Xenopus tropicalis: one gene and its partners. The protein of the gene in region 3 interacts with the protein of the main gene of each other region in a pairwise test. Links are inferred from orthologs where the notes say so. Each region holds a gene or a part of one and is shown on either strand. Other genes may lie near its edges. The genes, in order: sh2d1a, git1 and arhgef7.

Region 1 (4,311 bases), on a different chromosome or scaffold from region 3:
CATAAAACAAGACTATTTTATAGCATGAATAGTTGCAAACTTAAATGCCATAAAGAAAGACTATTTTATAGCAGAAATATTTGAAATTTTTTTGTCACCAGAATATTCGCAACTCGCTAAAACTAATGCCAACATAAACATAAATATTCATCCTATATGGGGATGAATAGAAGGGTTTTTCCTGACACTGCTGACTGCAGTCAAACAGCAGAGCAGTAAATGATTGTCTGATTTGGCAACTATACCTTGTGCAAATGTTGTTACATGACCCCCCCAGACCAGTGATTTAATCACAGTTTTATGCACCAAGTCCCCTTGTGTACAATGGGAACGCATCTTCTGCTCCTAGAAAGAAAATAGGATCTTTCTTTTCTTTACCCACCCACATGAATGTAGAGTATTGTACATGACTGTAATTCACATTGGCTGCATTACTGGCGCCACATAACCTTTACACTTGACACATGGTATCACACATAAAGGGTTAATGTAGTACTAAGGGCAATATTTTCCTCAGACAAAGTGGCCCACAAAAAACAATTAGATATTCTAGTCTGTTTTACTACATAACCCTACATTTAGGGAGCAAGGTAAGTGACTGCTATTAGGAATAAAGCCCCACTGAGTTAAATGTTAACCCAAATGCTGTAGGCTTCACGGGACAATAGAGTGACCATGGCTCAGGAATGGAGGGTTATTCCAGATGGCACGTTACACCCCATGTATATATTTATCAAGGAGAGAAATATAACTTGCTACAGTTTTTTACAGGCAGTTTATTATAGGGTGCAAATGAGAGTGCACTCTTTAACAAATAGGCCCCTAAAAACTCCCATACAAATAAAGAGAGCTGTGAACTGTGGTGAGATCCATTTCACCCCTTCATGAATATGCCCTTAAACTTCCATACAAATTGAGACCTGTGTATGTATGTATGTATGTATAACTTTATGTATAAAGCGCCACAAGGGTACGCAGCACTGTACAATCTTACAAAATACAAAATTACACACAGGGAGGACAAGTGTTATAATAAATAAATATATATATACCTCTACAAAGGGACCTGTGAAATACATTTTATTACATATTTATCACAAATAATAATAAGAAAAGAAGCAGACACCCAAGCCGGTGTTGTAACCAAATCCCAGCTGTACTACTGAGCTACAATGGACAGCAGTTTACTAGAAAGCAAGAAAATTCTAATAACTTCCTCCATCAAGTGATTGTGTTTGTACATGTGCCTGAATGTGACTACATATAATAGCTAATAAAGGTCCCTTTGTACATGAACACATTTGTAATACAATATTCATTGACTCTACTCAGATTGGGCATTAAGACCACATGGATGAGAAAGAACGCTCCTGAAAAGGTCTGATTAGAAATGTATAAAACAAGTGTATGCAGTGCAATTAACAATACTGGAGCATTTCGGCAATATGTCGGTCTACCTTGATCCTCCTCTTTCCCATATAAACAAGGGATTGACAGGCAAATATAGACTTGCATTTGTATTTTCCCCCCAGTCCAGGAAATAGTGGAATGTAATATCTCTCTGCCTGTGACCTACATATTTCACAGCAGTGCCTGGGTTTTGGTTTCAACTAAATTCGACTGCACAGTGCTGAACTATTTGGGTTTTTTTTGTCTCCCATTAATGGTTTGTCCCCACTAATTTTATTCCAAATAAGTGCTGCAATGACTGCAATAAGCAATAATTGTTCTATAGTAGTTCGAGTGTTAAAAGCAAATATCTGAATGGCTGCTATGGATTACTGAAAATGGCTACTGATTCACATAGTACTAACTAAGCCTTATTTCATATTTATGTTGAACAGTAAAATAGTGGGAACCACAATTCTTACATTTTGTTTTTAAAATTTGGTTCAGATTACTGATATGCATTTCCAGGGACAGAATTACATGTGTTAGTATATAGTTTGGGATTAAACGGTTATCTGGTTGCTCAGGTCCTGCTGATCCTAGCAACCAAGCAAACCCAAAGATGAATAGACTAGGTTCTTAACAGAAAGATAAGTTTTTTATGCTGCCTCTTGGAGAGGCCATAATGATAGAGACAGCAGGCTCTGCAACTGCAAAGGTGCTCAGGTATACGGAGGGCCTAGTAGAGATGTCATTGTACCATATTGTTTTATATTTTTTTTTTTTGTAGCATATTTGATTATATTTGCAAAACAAGTTTTTTTTCCTTGATGTTTTGGATCCCTAAAGAAGACTTTGGGGTCAAGAAACTTCTAGTTAAACCAAATACTGCCTCGATTCTATCTGCTGAAATTGAGAAAATACTGATACAAGGAATAAATGTTCAAGAAGTGAATATTCTATCTGTAAGAGTCCTAGACATATTTAAGTAATGTCACCCATTGGAAAATTAATTTTAATGCCTTGTAAAGGGCATGTAATGATACTGTAAAGAGTAGAGATACTTACAGAATACAGAGGCAATACATTCCGGGCATGGTCTCGCTATCCCGTAGCAAGTAGCTCCCATCTTTCCCTACATCGCTCAGGAGCTTCTCGCCCATCTCCCGGCTAATGTTTCCATGGTAAACTGATACCTTCTCCATTGGGTGCAGAGCAGTCTGTTGCTAGAGTGGCAATGGAAGAAGCACTTCTAGACAAGCAGGGGAGGAAGACGCTGTCTTTAATCTCTTCAAAGCAAATGCAACAAAGACGAGACAGGATCTCACAGGTGGAGACATCAACGTGTTACTCATGAAATCATCCCACAAGCACACACATGAGCACGAGTAGGCTGACGTGAAATCACTCTTGCCAGGCCTACAACAATAATAGGAAAAAATACTGTGGACGTAATTTCCATCATGATTATCTAGAGAAGCATTTAAGCCATGCAATCTAAAACAGGCAACATGCTAACAAGCAGTCAACCTTTAATTAATAAAACAAGGTTCCCTAGAATATTAAGAAGCATCACAATCGTTCCTAAAACTGATGGCATCTGTAACCTAAATATTACCCTCTCATCAACCTGTCAGAACTGTGAATTCCTTTTTCTTGAACTCTTGCTCTAAATGTCATCATCCTTTGCCCTAGTTACATACCTTCACTCTTAAATGTGTACCTGTGGTTTTAGTATAATAATAAGATTGTGAAAGAATGAGAGCTGGAAGTGCTGATATAAGGGACTGAGTGGAAAGAACATGGTACTCTGTTACTAAGTGGCAAGAGCATGGTTCTCTGTTACTAAGTGGCAAGAGCATGGTTCTCTGTTACTAAGTGGCAAGAGCATGGTACTCTGTTACTAAGTGGCAAGAGCATGGTATTCTGTTACTAAGTGGCAAGAGCATGGTACTCTGTTACTAAGTGGCAAGAGCATGGTATTCTGCTACTAAGTGGCAAGAGCATGGTTCTCTGTTACTAAGTGGCAAGAGCATGGCACTCTGTTACTAAATGGCAAGAGCATGGTTCTCTGTTACTAAGTGGCAAGAGCATGGCACTCTGTTACTAAGTGGCAAGAGCATGGTACTCTGTTACTAAGTGGCAAGAGCATGGTTCTCTGTTACTAAGTGGCAAGAGCATGGTATTCTGCTATTAAGTGGCAAGAGCATGGTTCTCTGTTACTAAGTGGCAAGAGCATGGTACTCTGTTACTAAGTGGCAAGAGCATGGTACTCTGTTACTAAGTGGCAAGAGCATGGTATTCTGTTACTAAGTGGCAAGAGCATGGTGTTCTGCTACTAAGTGGCAAAGGCATGGTATTCTGCTACTAAGTGGAAAGAGCATGGTACTCTGTTACTAAGTGGCAAGAGCATGGTACTCTGTTACTAAGTGGCAAGAGCATGGTACTCTGTTACTAAGTGGCAAGAGCATGGTATTCTGTTACTAAGTGGCAAGAGCATGGTACTCTGTTACTAAGTGGCAAGAGCATGGTATTCTGTTACCTTCTTTTTCCTTACTTCTTTAGAAATTTTGGTACCATTGAAACTAAAGCACATGCAGATAGAAAGTATAAACTGATGGCCTCAAGGTTACATAGAACTCTGGGAGAAGCTTTAGTTATGGTAGAATGTAATAAAAGCCATAAATGATATGAAACAATTGAATGTCTTTCTGTGATGTTGTTCTTTAGACATGGACGGGATGTATTTTTATTTTGGCACGTTTTGGGGGGCGGCCCTAGGGTGCCTATTTTTTTTTTTTTAAATGTAAACAAAAATGCCCCCAGCCTCAGCCACGCCGCGGTTTTCCCTCTTAGTACTTATTTGCTTTAGTAGTCACTGAATGATACCGCCTGAAGTTACACAGCTTATTATCCCCAAAA
Region 2 (3,470 bases), about 84 Mb from region 3:
TGTGCTATCCACAGGGGAGGAGGAGGCATATGGATGTAAGGGTGTGTCTTAATATGACATAATTCTTTAACATATGAATGATGGTTGATATCCCATTGTGATAAAATGGGTGTGGTTTGAAGTGGGTGTGGTTTAAAACGGGGGCGTGGCCAAAACTGGCTTCCATTAGCGGCCCTCCACCATGTATGCAAGAGAAATTCCGGCCATCGGCACCGCAGAAGTTGGACAGCACTGGTCTAGAATGTCTATATTCACCTGTAGAGTTAGGTTTTCTATAATTGGAACAGAGACCTAGCCAAAACCAACAAATCAGCCCCAGACCATTACTCCTCCTCCACCAACCATTTCCAATTGGCATGATGCATTCAGGCAGGTAGTGTTCCCCTGGCATCTGCTAGACCCAAACTTTTCCATCAGACTGGCATGTGGTGAAATGCAATTTATCCATTTATTTCACCAATACCATCCAAGAGATCAATCTCCAAGAATTCAGCTTATAACAGACTCCATGGGACACATTCCATTGTTAGTTGTTTAATTTGATACAAATGTACAATATGAGCAATTTTATACATTACACCCACCACCAAGCTCTCACAAATAACAGGATGGAGAAGGTCGGCCATTTTGCACTAATCTGTATGAACAAGTACGGCAAGGGGGGAGCTGAGAGATTCTGAGCAGCAGGTTTTTTAAAATACAAATCCCCAGCAAGATCAGTGGGTGGCAGCGGGTCCCTCTCATGTAGTGGCTTCTGGGAGCATCTTGTAAGAAGTACAATCATTTTGCCTACTGTGTAAGAACAAAGCTTGCAGATACGCGCGGATGGAACAGCAGGACCGCTGCTCACATTCAATGCCCAAACTACCTTTAGTCTAACCTTACGGCGCTAACCCAACAGCAACATTATTCCGGAAAGATCTAGCCAATATGAAAAGATGGCTTCATGTATGAGGTCCTTTTTCTGTCCTTTACAGTCCATTTAGCTCCTTACGGCTTTCCAAAGAATGCAAAGGGGCATTTGCTGTAAAGAGCAATAGACTTTTGGCCACTAACATAGAATAAAAGACAACGTTACTAGTCCTTGCCATAATAAAAAAAAAGGGCATCTGCTTGCATGTTTTTTGGCACAGAAAGTGACACACAGAAACAGAGAATTGAGGAATCTACACTCTTATTCCATTTAATCTAGCTTTTTATTTTGCCCCCTTCTTACAAAAACATAACGATCTCCAAAAATATAAGTGACTTCTACTTGGCAGCAGCAGGGTCTATATCTCGCCACAGCTGCTTTGTTTTTATGTATTTCCATCTTCTGTGTAAAGAGATTTCCATAAGGCATTATACCGGGACTGTGCAACCTGTGCCCTCTGCCAGTATCAAATATGGCTGCCAAGAGCTGCAATCCATTACAGCGAAAAAGCCACAGGTTGGCATCCCTTGTTTTGGCAAAGGCAAGCATTCCTACAAAGCCAATCTACTAATGAAAGTGGATAATTTTTCATCTGAATGTGAAATTCAGGATACAAATTATATGAGTCATTTCCAGGGTAATAATTGGTCAGCTTGTGGGGGTTTAAAATTAATTTAAAAAAAAAAAAATTCAGTTGGTGTGTGGATTCTACCCAATAGAAGTGTAAGGTCTCTGCCAGCGGCTGTATCTATGGCAGACACTGGTAACATTACTTACGGCAATAGGTAAAATGTTGCGACTCCCACACTAAGTGCAGGCCCCAAGGATACGGCAAGCATAAAATCCATTGGAGCAGCACTGCCAGTGGGATACTGAGCCTTACATTGTACTTCACGTCAGCAGGCAATATATATATATATATATATATATATATATATAATATACATGATTTTGATACATAGACATCCGGGGAGGAGGCAGGGTTAGGGTAGGGGCCTGTCTGCCACAGGGTGCCTAAGAAGTCAGTGCAAACATCAAGTTATATTTCTGGCCACTCTGAGCATTGCCGTTGTGCTACTCTTTAGAGTAAAACATTAAAGTGGTTATCATATCAATTATTTAACAGTCGTCCAACATCAATCCCCCTACTGTTCACATAAAAAATGCTTAGTAAATATTATATGTATATATTCATATATATACACACGCATTGATTCCAGTGTATGTTTAGCATTGGCCTTGATCACATTAATAACAATCTGCGGCACTGCATGGTAAGGACTGGCTGCTCTAGTGCTGGAGCGAATGCATGTCCGGCTCAGCATGAGTCTTGTGCTTTGCCTAGTGTTTGCAGCATGGCGCATGTAACTGCCACCTATGGATGAGTGCTGCCCCCTGCTTGGTGCCAGGGAAGTGTATGTGATTGGCTGCCTGACACAGGCTATGCATGGGCCCTGCTCTAGAGCAAACAGACTGGGGAACATACAATGTGCACCTTTAGCTGCTGTCTATTTGCTGCATAGTACATAGTCATGATGCCTCCTGCCTCAGGGTGCTGCCTGGTCACAGCTAAAGGGTGCCAAAATATGCAGCCCCACAACACAGCTTCAATCACACGCGTCATATCCTACAGCACAGATTACATATTAGTCTCTTCAAACCACTATCAGAACAAGGAAATATGAAAGACTATAAAAGGAAATTGTGCTATTCTGGAACTCTATGATTGCACCTTTAAACTTAAATAAAAGGCGCTGGTTACAGCTCTGTGGGGCTTGGGGTGACATATTCTAGCTGCAGTTGCACACAAGTACATTATGGAACCTGATCCACCTGTACTGTGAGAACCACTTGTACTGTATACTCTGTTCTGCTACATATGATGATAGTGATGGGGAGAGAATTTCACCCAGGCCCAAATCTTTACAATAGGAGAACACACAGGACTGTACTTATATTGCAATCATTATATTCCTTCAGCGTTTAGCGTTTGTTAGGAACGTCCAACCAGAGAGTACAGACAGTAGGATGGTACAGAGCAAGGTCAGTATTGCACATATACAGGGGGGTTATGGGGCTGCACATTTCATCCAGCTATTGTGGAATGTAGGAAGCCAATTCCTAGGGTTAGAGGGGTGACGGGCTGTGCCCGCCCCTCGGAGTCATGTGTGAAATATGAAAGGATAGCAAAATTGATTGCAAATTGACAGTTTGGAAATGGAAATGCCAGTTGGCTGCTGGAGTGGTCACTGCTTCTTCTCGCGGGTGGTGATGGTGACCAGCTGTTTGGCAGCTTTTGCGATGTCATAAGCGCACTGGATGACCTGCTGTGTCAGAAGTTGGAAGTCCACAGAGGCCCCAGGTTCTGGCGGGATGGTTTTGCGGCACTCACTTTGCAGTCGGTAGGCGCTAGCGTTCAGTAGCCGCAGTGATGATCGCACTGTCTCCAGGGCAGGTTTCTGCCACAAACACAGGAGAAAATACAGTGGAGGTTAGAGAGTCACTGGCCAACTGCATAGGGGATCCATGTCTTCTACATCACTGGGAACTAGTTACA
Region 3 (3,657 bases):
TAGAGGCGCAATACCATTGCCAAGTTAAAGGAAAAAAGTAAGTTTATCTTTGATTTCTGTGGCCTTACTACTGTATGTGCCATGTGAAAAGAGAGTGTCAGACTGATTTTATTCAGTGAATCTTCAGTGGCTATGACTAGAGCCTCACTGTTCAGGCATATCTGTTCTCTGTTTATATGAGAAATGACTGCACTTGTATTGATCTGTTAATTTTTATTGGGGTGACAGGTAAAACACCAGTATTTACCAAGAACATTTCAACTTCCTTCCTAGTGGGTAAAGAAAGGCAATTTGAATATACAAAGTCCATGGTCCTTCCAGTTTGCCTTCTTTCTAATTATTAAGGGCCAACCACTTGATTGATCAAACTCTACTTGATTGACTGAAGTAATGCAGAATATAAAACTGGCTAGAGGAGTACTGTGTCTGATTAATCACAGCAGCTATGTTGTTCTTTGTATTGCAATATAGTTCCCTCTAGGTGGGGGTGTCGACAGTTGGTTATGGGGTGGGGCATTATATTATTGGGGTCATTGACAAGATGTAAATTGAACTCTTCTTACCAAGCACTACTCCCTGGGTTATCTTATAGCCTGTACAAAGATTCCATACATGTATTCTTGCGTAAGTATTTATCTGCTTTGAGCAAACATTTGTGCTGAAGATTTGAGGGTGCTGTGGCCCTTTATGCTTTTTTACTGCTTGTCTGAGAAAAAAGTATGATGTTTATTTTTGTACCTGTTTGTTTCAGGACTATCACCCAGATCGACCAGATATCCAGAAGTCTATGACTGCATTTAAGAATCTCTCTGTAAGATAAAATCATCTATATATTTAGGGAAAGAGTCAGGCTTTGAATGTATACCATGTGTTTAGTTTACATTTATTTTTATTTTGGTGATATGATGTACACTGGACTTGTTCTTGAAATATTTCCTTTTATACATCTGGCTACCACAGGGTGTAGTTCATGCTTAATTACTACTTTTTCACAAGTAGGTTTTGTACTTTTTTTGTTTGTTAGTATGCTTTTTTTAATCCAGCATTTTTTGTCCTACTAAAAAAAACAGTGCAACCGTGCTGTTAAGGCTGATGCCAGACGTGACGTAGGGCTGATATTTTCGGCAAGCGGAAAAACGCTTGGCGAAAATACAGCCCTACGCCTGCTACTTGTGCCTGCACCCAAATGAATGAGATACGCTCGGGTGCAGACACATGTAGCCGATATCCGCATGAAAACGCGAGATAATGCAAAGTCTCGTGTTTTCATGCGTATATTGGCTACATGTGCCTGCGTCTGGCATCAGCCTTAGATTGCTGATATCAGCCTGCGAGATCAGGTGAAACCTTTCTGCGACTCACAGCATGAATGCTGCTGAATAACATATGTACGAATAAATATATTGGCAAAAAAAATAACAACAAATAATGTTTACAAAACCAAGGTTTTCGAGATGGGGCTCTTCGTCACCTGGCTGGAAATCTCCTCTCCCATGGGTGATGAAGTGCTCAACAACACCTGGCTCTTCACTTTCCCTGGAATTGTCCAAAAATGCAGAAGAAGGCATTTTTTAGATTTTTAGGGAATGATACATGTAATGTGTTTTACATGTGGAAATTTTAGGGAAGGTTTAGGGGCAGGTATTGGTGGACACTTCATCACCTGCCAATACCTGCCATGTTAGCACCCTGTGTCCTTAAAGGAGAAGGAAAGTTAAAATTACTGGGAGTGCCAACTGTTAGGCACTCCCAGTGATCACTGTGGGTGCCTAATACCTCTTCTCTACTATACACGTGCTGGGGAAACAGAAAAAAGAAGCGGGGAAAAAAAGATCGCTATTTGGTGCTCATACAGAGGTTACCCAGGGTACCGGCCTAGAATATAAGATAAGTGATTATAATGACTGGGTGGTGGCTAATATTCAGCAGCCCCCAGTGATTTTAACTTTCCTTCACCTTTAAACACCTGCTACTATTTAGTAGAATTTTTATAATCTAAGAAAAAGCACAAACATTAAAACACTGCTTCATAGAAGTAAAAATGTAAACCCGGCACCAAACTCAATCTTATGTAGCAATAAAGCAAGTTTCAAGTAATCTTCACATCTCATGTGCCTCTCTATAACTTATTTCCTTTCATGTTTTTTTTAATTTCAATGATTAATTGTTTATTTAATTGGAGTCTCTAGCAGGAACAGAATATGGGGCATTATTATGAATTATTGCTGATTATGTATAGAGCAATAAATTAATTCCATTATTTAATTACAATATTTATTTTACTCTGTGCACTGAAGCATCAATTATCTTAGCACTTTATAGTAAGAAATTGGTGCTACATAAGCATTTGAAGTCTGGGTTTTATTTATAGTTTAGTAATAACCATTATTTGCTTCTATAGGCGCAGTGTCAAGAAGTAAGAAAAAGAAAAGAATTGGAGCTGCAAATCCTGACAGAAACCATTCGTGGATGGGAGGGGGAAGACATTAAGACATTAGGCACAGTTATATACATGTCCCAGGTTATGATACAATGTGCAGGAAGCGAGGTAATTACATATAGTTACATAGTTACATAGGGTTGAAAAAAGACCATTGTCCATCAAGTTCAACCCATCCGAGTAAACCCAGCACACAACCTATACTAACCAATCTATACACTCACATACATAAACTATATATATACAACCAGTAATACTAATACTAACTAATAATTGGTGCCTGTTTAGAACTGATATCATAGTCTTATGATATATATGTTATTAATTTGTCCATTACTTTTATAGAGCTGCTGATGGTGCATTATGCTCAGTTTAAAAATATGGCATTTTCATACATAAAAGGCTATGTCGGGTGCTTTAAGTTCCCTACTTTTTGGTACCCCTTAAATTCAGTCCCCTTATACTTGAAAGCTCTCAAAGCAGCCCACCATACATTTTTATGTTAATCGCATAATTGTGTCAACTCTTTGCATTTCCAGAATACTATCCCTTAAGAAGTGTTGAAAAAACATGGCACTAAAGAGCCTAAAATAGGCTTGTGTGCAATTGCTCTTTGAAAACTACTTGTAAATAAAGTTGACTATACACTGGCCGAATGAAGAGATACTGATCAAGTGTTGATACACGTGTATAGTCACCTTCACATTCCAGCCAATGGGCTGAACTGCAGGTAGTGAAGTGGAGCTATGGCATTTATTCACTTTCTCTTCTGCTGATGTACTCACCAGCATGGTGCACAGGCACATAAAAGATTGCAGGATGATCAGTTGAACTGCAAGCCATGTATGGCCTTCATCAACTCTGGATGTTATTTACTTCCAATGCATGGATCTTATATGCAGAGCAAAATTCAAAACATGAAGCACCTGTGGTACTGCATATAAGGTTCTGTAATAGTGCATTAATAGCCTGCAAGTAATTGTATCCCTATAAGATTATGAGGTATACATATGAGGATAATTTTGTCTGTAGAAGAATAAAGAAAATGACCTGACCACAATTTTTTTTGATTGGCACCTAAGCTGCAATTTTACACTGGCTGTCTTCCCTACGTGTGCGTGCTCACTTGGTAGCTGGAAGGCAGGAAAAAGGATGCAAGGTGGCGAGTAGCTCGCAACCAGTGCAGTCGCAGGGTCTGCTGTATGGTAGTTACACCA

What was found.
Region 1: the proteins of arhgef7 (region 3) and sh2d1a interact in binary tests that used the Homo sapiens proteins (3 or more experiments, as listed by UniProt). The link is inferred for Xenopus tropicalis from reciprocal best matches to the Homo sapiens genes ARHGEF7 and SH2D1A.
Region 2: the proteins of arhgef7 (region 3) and git1 interact in binary tests that used the Homo sapiens proteins (3 or more experiments, as listed by UniProt). The link is inferred for Xenopus tropicalis from reciprocal best matches to the Homo sapiens genes ARHGEF7 and GIT1.

What each region holds. Positions count from the first base shown.
Region 1 is NC_030684.2:49,046,699-49,051,009, reverse strand, and holds the start of sh2d1a (SH2 domain-containing protein 1A), read right to left. Parts: upstream 2,817-4,311; 5' UTR 2,595-2,816; coding exon 2,458-2,594; intron 1-2,457.
Region 2 is NC_030678.2:32,819,842-32,823,311, reverse strand, and holds the end of git1 (ARF GTPase-activating protein GIT1), read right to left. Parts: intron 3,373-3,470; coding exon 3,160-3,372; 3' UTR 519-3,159; downstream 1-518. UniProt on the Homo sapiens protein: GTPase-activating protein for ADP ribosylation factor family members, including ARF1.
Region 3 is NC_030678.2:116,924,887-116,928,543, reverse strand, and holds part of arhgef7 (rho guanine nucleotide exchange factor 7), read left to right. Parts: intron 1-751; coding exon 752-811; intron 812-2,401; coding exon 2,402-2,548; intron 2,549-3,657. UniProt on the Homo sapiens protein: Acts as a RAC1 guanine nucleotide exchange factor (GEF) and can induce membrane ruffling. Functions in cell migration, attachment and cell spreading. Promotes targeting of RAC1 to focal adhesions. May function as a positive regulator of apoptosis.